Linked DNA regions of Mus musculus: all the other regions are reported to be linked to region 2. Evidence: microRNA targets listed by miRTarBase, many of them from high-throughput screens and not tested one by one. Region 2 holds a microRNA gene; each other region holds the end of a gene's coding sequence.

Evidence for each region. The annotated mature microRNA mmu-miR-362-5p reads AAUCCUUGGAACCUAGGUGUGAAU and lies in region 2 at 840-863, opposite strand. An mRNA with a match to its seed (bases 2 to 7 or 8) in the 3' UTR can be bound and repressed. Matches are read on the target gene's strand: a 7mer-m8 pairs with bases 2 to 8, a 7mer-A1 pairs with bases 2 to 7 and ends in A, and an 8mer does both.
Region 1: miRTarBase lists Islr2 as a target of mmu-miR-362-5p. Seed matches in the 3' UTR shown: 7mer-m8 at 2,123-2,129.
Region 3: miRTarBase lists Dram2 as a target of mmu-miR-362-5p. Seed matches in the 3' UTR shown: 7mer-A1 at 2,306-2,312 and 7mer-A1 at 1,568-1,574.
Region 4: miRTarBase lists Oxct1 as a target of mmu-miR-362-5p. The part of its 3' UTR that is shown has no 7-base or 8-base seed match.

Annotation. Positions count from the first base shown.
Region 1 is chr9:58,195,125-58,198,207 of GRCm38, forward strand. It overlaps Islr2 (immunoglobulin superfamily containing leucine-rich repeat 2), which reads right to left. Exons shown (of 3, transcript NM_177193.5): 3 at 1,173-3,083. The coding sequence ends at 2,614. Among named protein-coding and RNA genes, the nearest start is that of Islr2, 5.6 kb to the right of the region's middle.
Region 2 is chrX:7,241,180-7,244,262 of GRCm38, forward strand. Mir362 (microRNA 362) reads right to left here and starts at 867; the gene lies at 803-867. The region is part of intron 2 of Clcn5 (chloride channel, voltage-sensitive 5); the gene reads right to left. It overlaps Mir501 (microRNA 501), which reads right to left and starts at 172; the gene lies at 64-172.
Region 3 is chr3:106,573,151-106,576,233 of GRCm38, reverse strand. Dram2 (DNA-damage regulated autophagy modulator 2) reads right to left here. Exons shown (of 9, transcript NM_026013.3): 9 at 893-2,659. The coding sequence ends at 2,549. Among named protein-coding and RNA genes, the nearest start is that of Cept1, 27 kb to the right of the region's middle.
Region 4 is chr15:4,153,237-4,156,319 of GRCm38, forward strand. It overlaps Oxct1 (3-oxoacid CoA transferase 1), which reads left to right. Exons shown (of 17, transcript NM_024188.6): 17 at 492-2,108. The coding sequence ends at 533. Among named protein-coding and RNA genes, the nearest start is that of BC037032, 130 kb to the left of the region's middle.

The DNA of each region.
Region 1 (3,083 bases), not on the chromosome of region 2:
AACCCCTCAAGTCTCTTCTTTCCCTTTCGGCTCCTTTTCCAATCACATCTTGCCCTTTCCAGGCACTGATGAAACCCACAGGAAGCTCAGCCTCAGCAGTTTGGCTGGTCGGGAGTGCAACATCCAGTCTTGATCCCCACCCCTTGTCTCCCAGTCTCCATTTGTAGAACAATAAGTCAGTGTGATTTCAGACCTGATTCTGTGTTATATCAGCTCAGCAGCCCCTGACAGCTGCCCATACATTACCATCACTGATGGAACACTCCTAACCACCCTGGAAACACATACACACACACACACACACACACACACACACACACACACACACACACACACACTCATCACACTCTCTCTCACACACACACACATACACACACACTCATCACACACACACACTTGCCACACACTCATCACACTCTCTCACACACACACTTGCCACACACACTCATCACACTCTCTCATACACACACTTGCCACACACACTCATACTCTCACACACACACTTGCCACACTCTCACACACACACACACACACTCACACATACTCTGACACATACCCACACTCACACATCACACACACACACTGACTTCACCTTGTCCAGTGGAGTGAGCTTTAGGCAACCTTTCACTTTCTGTAGTCACCTGCCTGTTCTGAAATGTGTGGTGTGACTTCTCTCTGCAAACCACAGCAGTCCTACCTCTAGGAACTCTCCTCCCCAAGCTGCCCCTTGCCCATCCCCCACATCTTCCCAGAGAACTCAAAAGGTGGTGCTGAGAAACAGAACACAGAGAGAGAGACAGACAGACAGACAGACAGACAGACAGACAGAGACACAGAGACAGAGACAGAGAGACAGAGACAGAGAAAGCCCAGTACTCCAACAGTCTCAACCCAAAGAGAACAGTGGACCAGTGCTGGCAGCCGCTCATTCCCTGAGAGCCCTTCTTGTTCTCTGACAGCCTCCTTCCACCCCAAGCTGTTTCAGCTCCAGGCAGGAGCTGAGAAACCCCGGATCAGGGGCTAGGGCAAACACCCGGAAAACTCACTTGATCACCAGGCAAATGCCCAAGGAATCCCAAAAGCTCCTTCTGTGGTGGTTTCCGCCTTCAACCCTCAGCTTCCTTCCTTTGTTGTCCCCTGACTTCCCACCCGACCCCAAAAATCTCACCGAGTCCTGTTCAAATCGATTATTTTATTGACAGTTTACATACAGAAGCATTTAGAAAAGGACATGGGCTCCGGGGTCAACTCCTCCCCGGGTCACCCACGTTTGTGCTGCACTTCGCCCAGAGCCAGAGCCAGAGCCTTGGTCCAGACGCCTGAAACCCCACCCCCTGACCTTTTCCTAAAAGAACTAAAACCCCACCCGAGTCCCCTCGCCACTCCCGCCCTCTCCCTCCCTCCTTCCTCGTCCACCTGCCCACCCGCTCCCCATCCCCCACCCCCAGCTCCGCTACACTACACCGGCACACTTTACGGACACAGAAGTCTATAGCCCACGCTCGGCGGGGACTACACGCTGAGCAAACTCTATATTCCTGGGGTGAGGGGAGACGTGGGGAACTAGGGTGTCCCTCCCGGGCTTCGCAACCCCCCTGCTGCCTCGGTCAGGCCTGAGGCAGGCCCATTCGTGAGATGCGCCCGGGAGTCACAGCTCCCTGTACCCACCAGCACGTTCCTGCTGGGGTCTGAACCCCATGGAGTAGCAAGAGTCACTGTGGCACGCACCAGCCTCTGGCATCTGCAAGACATTGACGACGAAACTGGCCCGGGAACCAAGGCCGCACCCTGCGAGGAAAAGGGCGCGCAGTTCCGGAGCGCTTGAAATTAGGAGAGAGCCGGAAGCAAAGAGATTCCGACACTCACACCTGACACACTCACACCCAATTTCCCAGAAGGTGGGAAGGGGGTATTAGCACCAGACCCAGAAATGTCGCTGCTTTTTAAAACAACGAAAATAAGAAAATCAGTGCGCTGAGTTGAAAGGCCTACCAGGACCCCAGTTTGGCTCCAACTAGACAGAAATGGGGTGGGGTAGGAATGGGGAGGGGGGACGCGCGGATTTGGATCATTATAGGAAAGGAGCGGTGAGAATAAAAATTAGCGGGCTTCTGGCACATGCATCCTTGAAAAGGCAGAGTGGGATCAAAGTGAGAGTCACAGCGCTCCACGCTGGGGACCTGTCCTGGGGATCCCAGGCAAACGCTGGACCAACCCTATTATTATCACCAAATGTGGTCAACGACTGGCGTGGCGCTCTCCCCTTGTCTCCAAGTTCCACCAGATGGGGTGCGCGATGGGTTTCGTGGATCGCCGTGATGAAATGGAAGGCATAGACGGTTTCTCGCCGCCCATGGGTGGTGTCTTAGAGGAGGTAGGAGCCTGACTCTGTGCTTTGGGTGGGGATGGGGATTCAAGCCCACCAAAAGAATGACCCCTGAATTCGGCCCACTCCTAGAAATCCCTAGTAGTGACCCCTGGGGAGGGCTAAGGAGGCAGAGTAACTGAAGGCTTGGGGGGTAGGGCGGAGTCCCGCGAGGGTGTTAAAGTCCTGCCGTCCCTAGGCTACGAGGTACCCAAGGTGGAGGTGGGCAGGCCAGGCGTGCTGGGGGCTCAGCCCGCTGTCTGCCTGTAGTTGCCGTTTATTTCCTGGGCGATGTTGACTGCTTCCGCTCCCAGGGGCAGCCGATCGCTGTACTCCGAGCCAGCCTCGAACTCCTCTTGGTTGGCCTTGGACTGAGACTCCACCAATGAGCAACCCGCCAGGCTTTCCTCTCTCTGAAGGTCCCCGCTTGGGTCCCCCTGCTCCACATCTTCATCCAGGCCTTCCTCCGGGACCTCCTCTGGCTCCTCACCTCCCGCCTCGCCACGAGCAGGGTAGCTTTTCTCAGACTCAAGGTAGGAAGCACGCGGATCGAAATCGGCCGCGATGCGTTTCTCCATAGGGTCCGGGGCCTGTGGCCTCAGGATTAAACGGTAGGGTTTGCCCGGATGTTTGGCCAGCAGATGGCAGCAGGCGGCACCCAGCAGGGGCACGGTGGCCAGCACCAGGAGAAAAACACTCACGGTCACGATAACCAGCA
Region 2 (3,083 bases):
AGGCATAAAAGAAGTATGCAAGCAGCAAACAGATGAGATATGATGCACAGACCTCCTGTCCTTCTCCATGCAGATCAGGCTCACCTTCCCCAAATCCTTGCCCGGGTGCATTGCATACAAATAGCATTTTCACCCAGGGACAAAGGATTAGAGAGGATGAGCAGAGCAGAAGGCCCAGGCACCTGTACCATGTTTGTGTGGTTCTGTATATAATATTTAATTTTCCTTGTCCTGATTCAGCCAAGCATCACCACCTATACCCAAGCTTGACATCCCTGATTTATATATGTATCTGCCCCCTTCCCACCATGAGCATCCTCTCTCAGAGAAAACTTCTACGTATACAAAATGGTATCTCTCCCAGATCATACTTGAGAATTTGTGGGGGCCTGATTTATGTTTGGAAGGTAGCAAGAAGGCTGGGATCTGAGAATGCATATACATACTGAAAGAGGGCACAGTGGAGGAGGATACTCCATTCCTTTCCAATGCCTTTATACAATTCAAGCTTTGTGGAACAGGGGTTATCACTGGATGTAACAAACGGGTTGCCTGAGTAGCAGCACCTAATGTGTGCTCCTCATCACATGATCTGACACTTAGCAAACTGGGAATCAAGAAAGCTCATGCTGAGAATAGAAGCATGTCTACCAAACATGATAAAGACCATTTTGCTGTTAGAAAATGTGTAGAACCAAGTCTGACAGCTAAAACCAAAATCAAATGGTGGCCAGGAGGAGGGAAGGTGGCAGGTGAGATGTGCAAGTATGGGCCATTCTACACGCAGACAAGGCTCAGCCTCTTTGAATCCTTGAACAGGTGTGTTGCACTGAAGCAGCATTCACACCTAGGTTCCAAGGATTCGAGAGGGGGAGCAAGCAAGAAGGCTCAGGAACCTGCCCTTCCTGTGTGTGGTCAATATGCTTGTGTGCAACACACTAAAAGAGAACGAGAGATGCGCTCTGTCCTTTACAAACACAAAGGTCTGGCTCTCAGAATCCTTGCTGAAGAACACTCTCACCCAGGTAGCAAGGATCAGAGAACTGAAGCAGGGCAAAAGGCTCACAGCAAATGAACGCATGGGCTCACCTTTGACACAAGGTGCTTATCTGTGATGAGAAAGAAGACAATGTTCTTGAGCTTCACATTAAGTATGTCTAGGCACCTGAGTTCAACTCCCAGCCTCCACATAAAAGAGCCAAGCGTGAGGACTCAAAGAAAGCTAGATCCCTTGGCCTAACTGGTGAGTGCCAAGTCCCTATTAGAGACTGTTTCAAAAAACAGGGTAGATGTCCCCAAAGGGGAAGCACCTCAGGTTGACCTCTGCACCCTCCACACACATACACAGAAAGAGAGAGAGAGAGAGAGAGAGAGAGAGAGACAGAGTGACAGACAGACACAGAGACAAAGAGAGACAGAGACAGAGAGACAGACAGACAGACAGACAGACAGAGACAGAGAAACCTGTCTAAATATATACATTCATATTTTGTTCTGAGATTATAAAAATATAAAGCCAGAGATACAAAATACTGAAAGAAAAAAAGACAGAGAGACAGAGAGAAGAGGCCATAAGCTCACAAGATGGCAGTAGAGATTGGCATCCTTTAACACACATCAGCATCTTGTTAAAGTTACTTCAGATACCTGGAGGACTTGGTACTAAGATAACTTACAGAGGTTTCTCATTAGTGAGCTCAAGATTTTGTATTTCTAAAAGGGGCTGGGTGATGCTGGGGACCTTACCAGCATCATGGATAAGACAGAGAAACTGTGGAGTTTGGTATCTACAAACCCTGTTTCAAACCTATACTTCACCATGTACTGGATTAAAGAATCTACCTGCTTTCTCCAAGGTCATGGACTACTTCTAAAAAATGAGAATAACAAATGCTATCTCTTTAAAGAGTACCAAAAAAATTAGGTAAGATGCAAGCCTAGAGTAGGATGCAGGACCTGGCCCCTGGCTATTATTTTTACCTCTTACACTACCATTTTTGTACACATGTGTCTAAATGAATGTCCTGTTTACAATAGTATGGTCATACTCATATATGCAAAAGCCAGGTGAAGGAGGCATGAATATCAGTGACTCGGAGAATCTGTAAAAGGCAATGCAAGGACTGGCTCTCTGGTAATTCTTCTTCAATGTGCCTAAATCAACGAAGTTCACACCCCTTTCTGTGAGGGATATGAAAGACAAAATCACAAGTTTCAATCTTTCACTTTCCTACTATATGTCACAGAGAGTGAAGAGAGTCAGGAGTAAGGAGAGAGGGGAGAAGTAGAGAAGGGGGGAGAGCGAATATAAATGAATGACAGTAAGGCATTTTTCTCTATGAGAAAACAAGTGTATCAAACAAAAGAAACCTTCTATGCTCACGGGCCTATATATGATGTACACCTAGCTATAGATGGGCTTCATTCATATTTGTTCTCCTATCTACCCAGCTGATGCAAAAGCATATCTATGACTGTCTAGGTATGTGTTTACAAAAATGTCAGTGTTAACAAACAAGTATACCTTCCTATAACAGCTCCGTCAAAGATGAAAACCAAGAGAGCCCACTACCCTTCCTTAGAGGTGTAAGAGAACAAGGTTAGGGGAGCAGGACTCTGTTCCTGCTAAGCTGTCAGTGGGCCTCTGCATTTGAAGGTTGCCTATGTGTGCTGAGAACGTGATGAATCAGGTTTGACACTTAGAAAGTGGAGGCTAAAGTAAGGAAGTGCATCCTGCAGCTTCTCAGGCATGTATATGTGATCGTACACAGTGAGAATGATTTTCATCCTCCTGTATGCACATGCTACAAAGACTGGACTGCCCAACTTACCACTGGCTCCACATATCAGCACACTATCATACAATCAGAACTATAGTCACATACTACATGGTGTTTGGTAAGCCACAAACTACATATACAATAGTAGTCACATAACATTTCATCACCTAGTAATCCTTATTAGTTTAACTATACACTCCCATGGTGGTTTAATAAAAATTGCCCTCACAGGTTCATATACTGGAGTGCTTGGTCCCTAGTAGGTAAAGCTGTTTTGGGAAGGATTAGAAGGTGTGGTGTGGC
Region 3 (3,083 bases), not on the chromosome of region 2:
AATGTACCACATTTTCTGTATCCATTCCTCTGTTGAGGGGCATCTGGGTTCTTTCCAGCTTCTGGCTATTATAAATAAGGCTGCTATGAACATAGTGGAGCATGTGTCCTTCTTACCGGTTGGGACATGTTCTGGATATATGCTCAGGAGAGGTATTGCTGGATCCTCCGGTAGTACTATGTCCAATTTTCTAAGTTTCTCAATCACAAGCACTGTATTTGACAAGTGGGACGCCATTAAAGGTAGAATACATAACATGTCTTAGGGACAAAGGGATGATTCATGGACCAGGTGACATGATACAAGATTTCATTACAAGACTCAATTAAAACTTACCAATTGTGGAGTTCTAGTAATATTCATTTAATATTTTTAGACCACAGTTGACTGTGTGTTTTCTTTTTTAAAGTGTCTATTTATGGTTTAGTTTTACATGTAACCTAAATACTTGTAAGAATTCTCCAATGAACTCTGAAAATTAAAAAACAAACAAACAAACAAACAAACAAACAAACATTTTCACCTGTTATTCCATAGCTGTCTTTGGCAGACCTGGCAAGGGATTTACTTTCAAGAATTTCTACTCTATGAATTATTACTCAGTATTATTTACTTCTCATAATACCATGGATGCTTCATAACTTAACTTATTGGTAGAGAGAAAACTACAGAAAAAGATATTTTCCCTATGTGGTTACATCATGCTTTTTTTAAAGGACTTAATCATGATCTATAAGCAATTTTTTTCTAGTAACAACATCAATCAATCAATCAATCAATCTTTACTAAAATGTCTCCCTTGTGACTGTAGCTTCCCATAGGTAAATACTCTATTTCTCTATATTTCTCTATTAATCTAAGTTATTTCTTCAAATACTGTTAAGGAATTTGAGATTCAACAACTTATAACTGAAGTCTACATCTCCATCATTTAAACAGTTTTCCTTAAATTCCTTCTTGATATATTTTAAACTTTTCCTTACCATCTTTTCTTCTGGTTTCAGCCCTATTTCTTCTAAAAATATAAATTATGTTAGTATTCATCAAGGATTACTTTACAAACTAATTTGACCCTGGATATTATTTAGGTCAACACTTCCTTCTTCTTCTTCTTCTTTTTTTTTTTTTTTGTTTGTTTTTTGAGACAGGGTTTCTCTGTATAGCCCTGGCTGTCCTGGAACTCATTCTGTAGACCAGGTTGGCCTCGAACTCAGAAATCCGCTTGCCTCTGCCTCCCAAGTGCTGGGATTAAAGGCGTGCACTACCAACGCCCGGACAGTTCCTTCTTTTTAATCCTAGTAGGCATTTAGAAACCATCCTGTATAACCATCCTTTATCTACACAGAGATCTAAATTGAAACTTTACAATCATTTTCATGACAAGAGAAAAAGATTCAGAATTTTATTTTGGATTTCAGTCTCTTCTTCAGATTTAGGTTTCAAAAGGATCACATTCCAATAAAAAGACTAAATATATGATCAAAACTAATCTTACTACTAAGTATAAATTTCTCTAAATGAAAAATCAAAGATTATAACTATAATGTAATTTTTATGTTAATAATCATATCCTTTTGTTTACAGACTTTGCAACCTTATTTAGGAACATTAATGTTTATTTCTATTATCACATTTAGTTATTGTGTATGTGTATTTGCATATGGAGGTCAAGGCCAAAGGATAACTTTTCTTTCTTTTGACTATGTGGATCCTACATATTGAACTCAGATAGTCAGGGTTAGCAGCAAGTAATTTACACTACTGAACAATGTCATCAGCTGTAACCTTTATTTTATAAAGAACAAAATGGTAGCAAATTTGCAAATAATCTCTCTCTTTTACTGGTAATTAAAAATTCTAATCTCAGAGACCAGACTTGATGAAATTATTATAAGCATATATGATAGATCTGTTAATATTCATGTGGCCAGAATAAATACCCATTGATTTTGTGTTTGTTTGGGGGTGCAGAGAGGCAAAATTTAAGCCATCAAAGAACTCAGATTATTTCAGGCAGGCTCCTATTTACAGAAAAGATTCAACAACAACAATAACAACAACAACAACAGCAACACATTTTTAAGTACTGTAAGAAATGTATTAATATAATAAAACTTCAGTTTTAAGCCGTGATTCCAAATGATTTGGTTACCAATGCTGATTACGGTGTGCCATGGAAAATGTCTCTCATAAAAGTACTCCTAACAAAAGATACTTTTAAAATAATATGTTTAAGGCCAAGTATAGAGACTACTCGGTGTACTTCAGGCTTTCATTGATAAAGTAGCAAACACTACAATGATATTATCCTTTGGTTTTATTTTCTGGATATAAAAAAGTCTAGACATGTTTTTAGATGGACTTCTTAACAACATCCTTTAAGAAAACTTACCAGATGGCTTATTACATTTTTCCTGATATCATGTTTCATTAGTGTCACTGTCAGCCTTGATTAATTGATTCAAATTTTCACAGTATAATAAGCAACTTTTGTGCATCTTTTCCCAGTCCCTGAGAATCACAATCATCACAGAAGACTTATATCCAGTTACTGAAAATCTCTGGAAAGCAGTGGTGTTCTTTCATTGTTAACAGGGCAAGGAACAGTGTCATAGAGGGTTAATCCATGTAAATTGGCTTCCACCCGCAAAGTAATTTTCTGGAACAGAAAAGAAAATTATATAGAAAAGTTTTGCCCTTCTGAGAGACTATCTCTTCACTGTGTGTCACAGGAACCCTTATGTAGTCAGAAAAACAAAATGATCAGATGGGGAACAGGAAGTCTCTGCCACAGGCACCATCCTGAGCACCCAGGGAAATGGAAAAAAACACGTTCTTGCCTCACTAAGTTTCCTATTTTTCTTTTGTAGTTCTTTTTTTTTTTTTTTCCCGTAAAGCCATGTGTTAGGGCTGGGTCTAGGTGAATAAACATAAATTATAGAATTTCTTCAGATATGCTTTGCAACTACATTATCAAGGGGGAAGCTTACTTGCAGCACACAACTTCCTCAAACCCAGGAATAATTTTACCAGAAGTTACTCTTATATCACATTCTTTGGTGCCAGATTTTAAAATGCTAATT
Region 4 (3,083 bases), not on the chromosome of region 2:
GAGGATCACACTCCCAAAGAGAAACGCCTCCTTCCTCCCTAGCAGCCATCAATTGCCAGTAGCTCTTTTCAGCTAGATGTGAAGTTTCATGAGTCCCTCTCTTAACCATGAAGGAATGTTGATTGGCTTAACCTGCCCTGAACCTTTCAATTTGTCTATCCTTGCATTAGTCCTTGTGTGCTTGGAGGGCCAAACTAGGGAACGGGGAGTGATTTTCTACTGCTTCAAGTCCATGATCTCTGAAGTGTCTTTTGCAGTGTATATTAAGTTAAATTGATTATTTACTTATTTCTTCCCTGATGCACAATTAGGTAATCTAAAATAGGATTCCTTATGTTGTATCTGTGGATTACTTTTGAAATTTAACATATCTTTTAGTTTTTATTTCTTAATTTAAAATGAAATTATTAAAAACAAATTGAAGCAGTACTTGAACATTCTATGGTAGAGTAAACTTTATAATTATTTTGTTTTCATCTTTCTCCCATCAGGTTTCACCAAACCTCATGCCAATGCAGCAGATTTCAACTTGAAGCATCCACTGAACATTTGTCCCAGGCTGCCAAGATTGCATTTTCAACACATAGGATTTAAACGGAAGGATGTCAGTAATCAATAGTTACATTACACATTTAGCAAGAAGTTTCGGCTAGTTTTCTTCTAGTATTTCTGGATTTGTGCAGCCATAGACATTGTTCTCTCCATCGTGATATATCAGTTCCGTGGGAAAAAAAAAAAAAAAAAGGAAAACATTTTATTGTGGTCTTGCTTCATGAGTGCTAAGAAGGTTGTCTTTATCATTGTTGCTCACAGTGGATATATGCTCATCTTTTATGCTATATGTATTAAACCTCGACTTAGCCCTGAAGGTGAATTTTCATGTGCATTTGTGATTTGGTAGAATACTTTTTTGATGACTATGTATCTTTTACCTTCCTCTGTTTTGAGAGATGCCAGTTATGCTTGCTTTCTTAGAAAGTCCTCCTTCCCTCCACACTTCTTATAGCTAAATAGATACTCGAAAAAGCGAACAGGAATGTCCCTGTGAAAAGTAAGTAGAAGAAAGGACAAGGCATATGCTCTGCTGGTGCTGACATCCCACTAAATGTTGCCTTTAAAGACAACCAACCGTCTACCTATGGTGTGCTATACCTTTGTATTCTGAAGACTGTTTTTCTGTATTGATCACCAATGTTTACTTATACATCTCTTGAGCAAAAAAAGAACCATGGGCAATTGATCATGAGTCCTGAATCATAGTGACAGCAGTATTTAAAGAGATGATATTCCAAGATATCTCCCCTTTAGCCTCTCCATTCTGCTCAGCAAAGATTGTAAACACTGAGTTACTTTTTTACACTACAGTGGTATTCTGCATAGGTTAGTTCTCTTCACAAAGGGCTACTGCTTTAGCCTTATCTGTGCTGGGGAAATGATGGGAAAGGCTCAGATCTGAGTGGCTAGCAGGGTTTGTGTGGCAGAGTGAATGCAGTAGCTTGCATTCATCAGGGATGCTTCCTCAGAAGTAGCCACAATACAGACAGTTGCCAGGGGGCATCACTCCAGAAGCTTCCTTGCCTTGGTATCAGATATCTGAAAACCTAGGCACCCTGAAGCCAGACTGGACAGCTGGCGTCTGCACAGTGAAACGTATCGTCTTTCTGGCACTAATTAGAGGAATTTATACACGTCTTAGGTGATGGTTGGCACTGGAACTCACTCCTCAAGCATAACCACAGTTAGCTTGCACATGTTGTGAAGGGGAGATAAGCTTTTCCTCCATAGTACACCCTCTAGGTAGGACTGCTTTAGTGGATGGCCACGTGGCTGAAAGCATCCTCTGCCAGTGTTGGTAAGAAGAACCCGTCTTAGATGGTACAAGGCCCAGGAGAGTACGTATGTTAGAGCACACATTTGAGAAATCATCTTGCTGATATTGATATGTCTTCAGGCGCACTTGCTTATCATTCCGGTCTGTTACTTTAACGCAAGGGGCTTCTAAGAATGTCTTAAACTTCAAAGCCTGAATAGACAACTTTCTAAGAGTGCCATGATATTTTTTAAAAAATGTGTTAAATGACACAATAAAAATTGCAAGTTGATGGAGACGAATGTGTGTGTCCTCTTATTTGGGAATGGTGCGTGAGAAACACCTCAAAGGTTGATTCTAACAACCATTGGTCATTAGGTCAGCAGGCTTCTACTTCTACCACGTTGTTACCGTCTCTGTCTCTTTCTTTTGTGGGGAGGGAGTGTGGAGACAGGGTCTCTCTGAGCAGTCCTAGCTGTCAAGGAACCCATTCTACAGACAGACTGGCCTTGAACTCACAGAGGTCCACATGCTTCTGCTTCCTGAGTTCCAGCATCAAAGGCACCACCATGCCTGGCATTAGATTTGCTTTTTACCTTACCTAATACATATATTTCTTTTTCTAGAAAGTGAAAGAAATATTACTTAATTGAATTCTGCTCTACCTTTCGCCCCATCACTGAGACCCATACCTCTGAAAATTGATTATCAAGCCTCCATATATTAATTTTTATATGACTTTTTCTTTATGTATATTTTTTGTGTGTTGCTATCTCTGCATTTTGTTTTATTTATTTTTTATTTTTTTATTTATTTATTTTTTTTTTATTTTTTTACTACCCCTTTTTGGCCCTGCCGTTCCCCTGTACTGAGGCATATAAAGTTTGCAAGTCCAATGGGCCTCTCTTTGCAGTGATAGCCGACTAGGCCATCTTTTGATACATATGCAGCTAAAGACAAGAGCTCTCGGGTACTGGTTAGTTCATATTGTTGTTCCACCTATAGGGTTGCAGTTCCCTTTAGCTCCTTGGGTAATTTCTCTAGCTCCTCCATTGGGGGCCGTGTGACCCATCCAATAGCTGACTGTGATCATCCACTTCTGTGTTTGCTAGGCCCCGGCATAGTCTCACAAGAGAGAGCTATATCTGGGTCCTTTCAGCAAAATCTTGCTAGTGTGTGCAATGGTGTGAGCATTTGGAAGCTGATTATGGGATGGATCCCTGCATATGGCAATCACTAGGTGGTCCATCCTTTCCTCACAGCTCCAAATTTT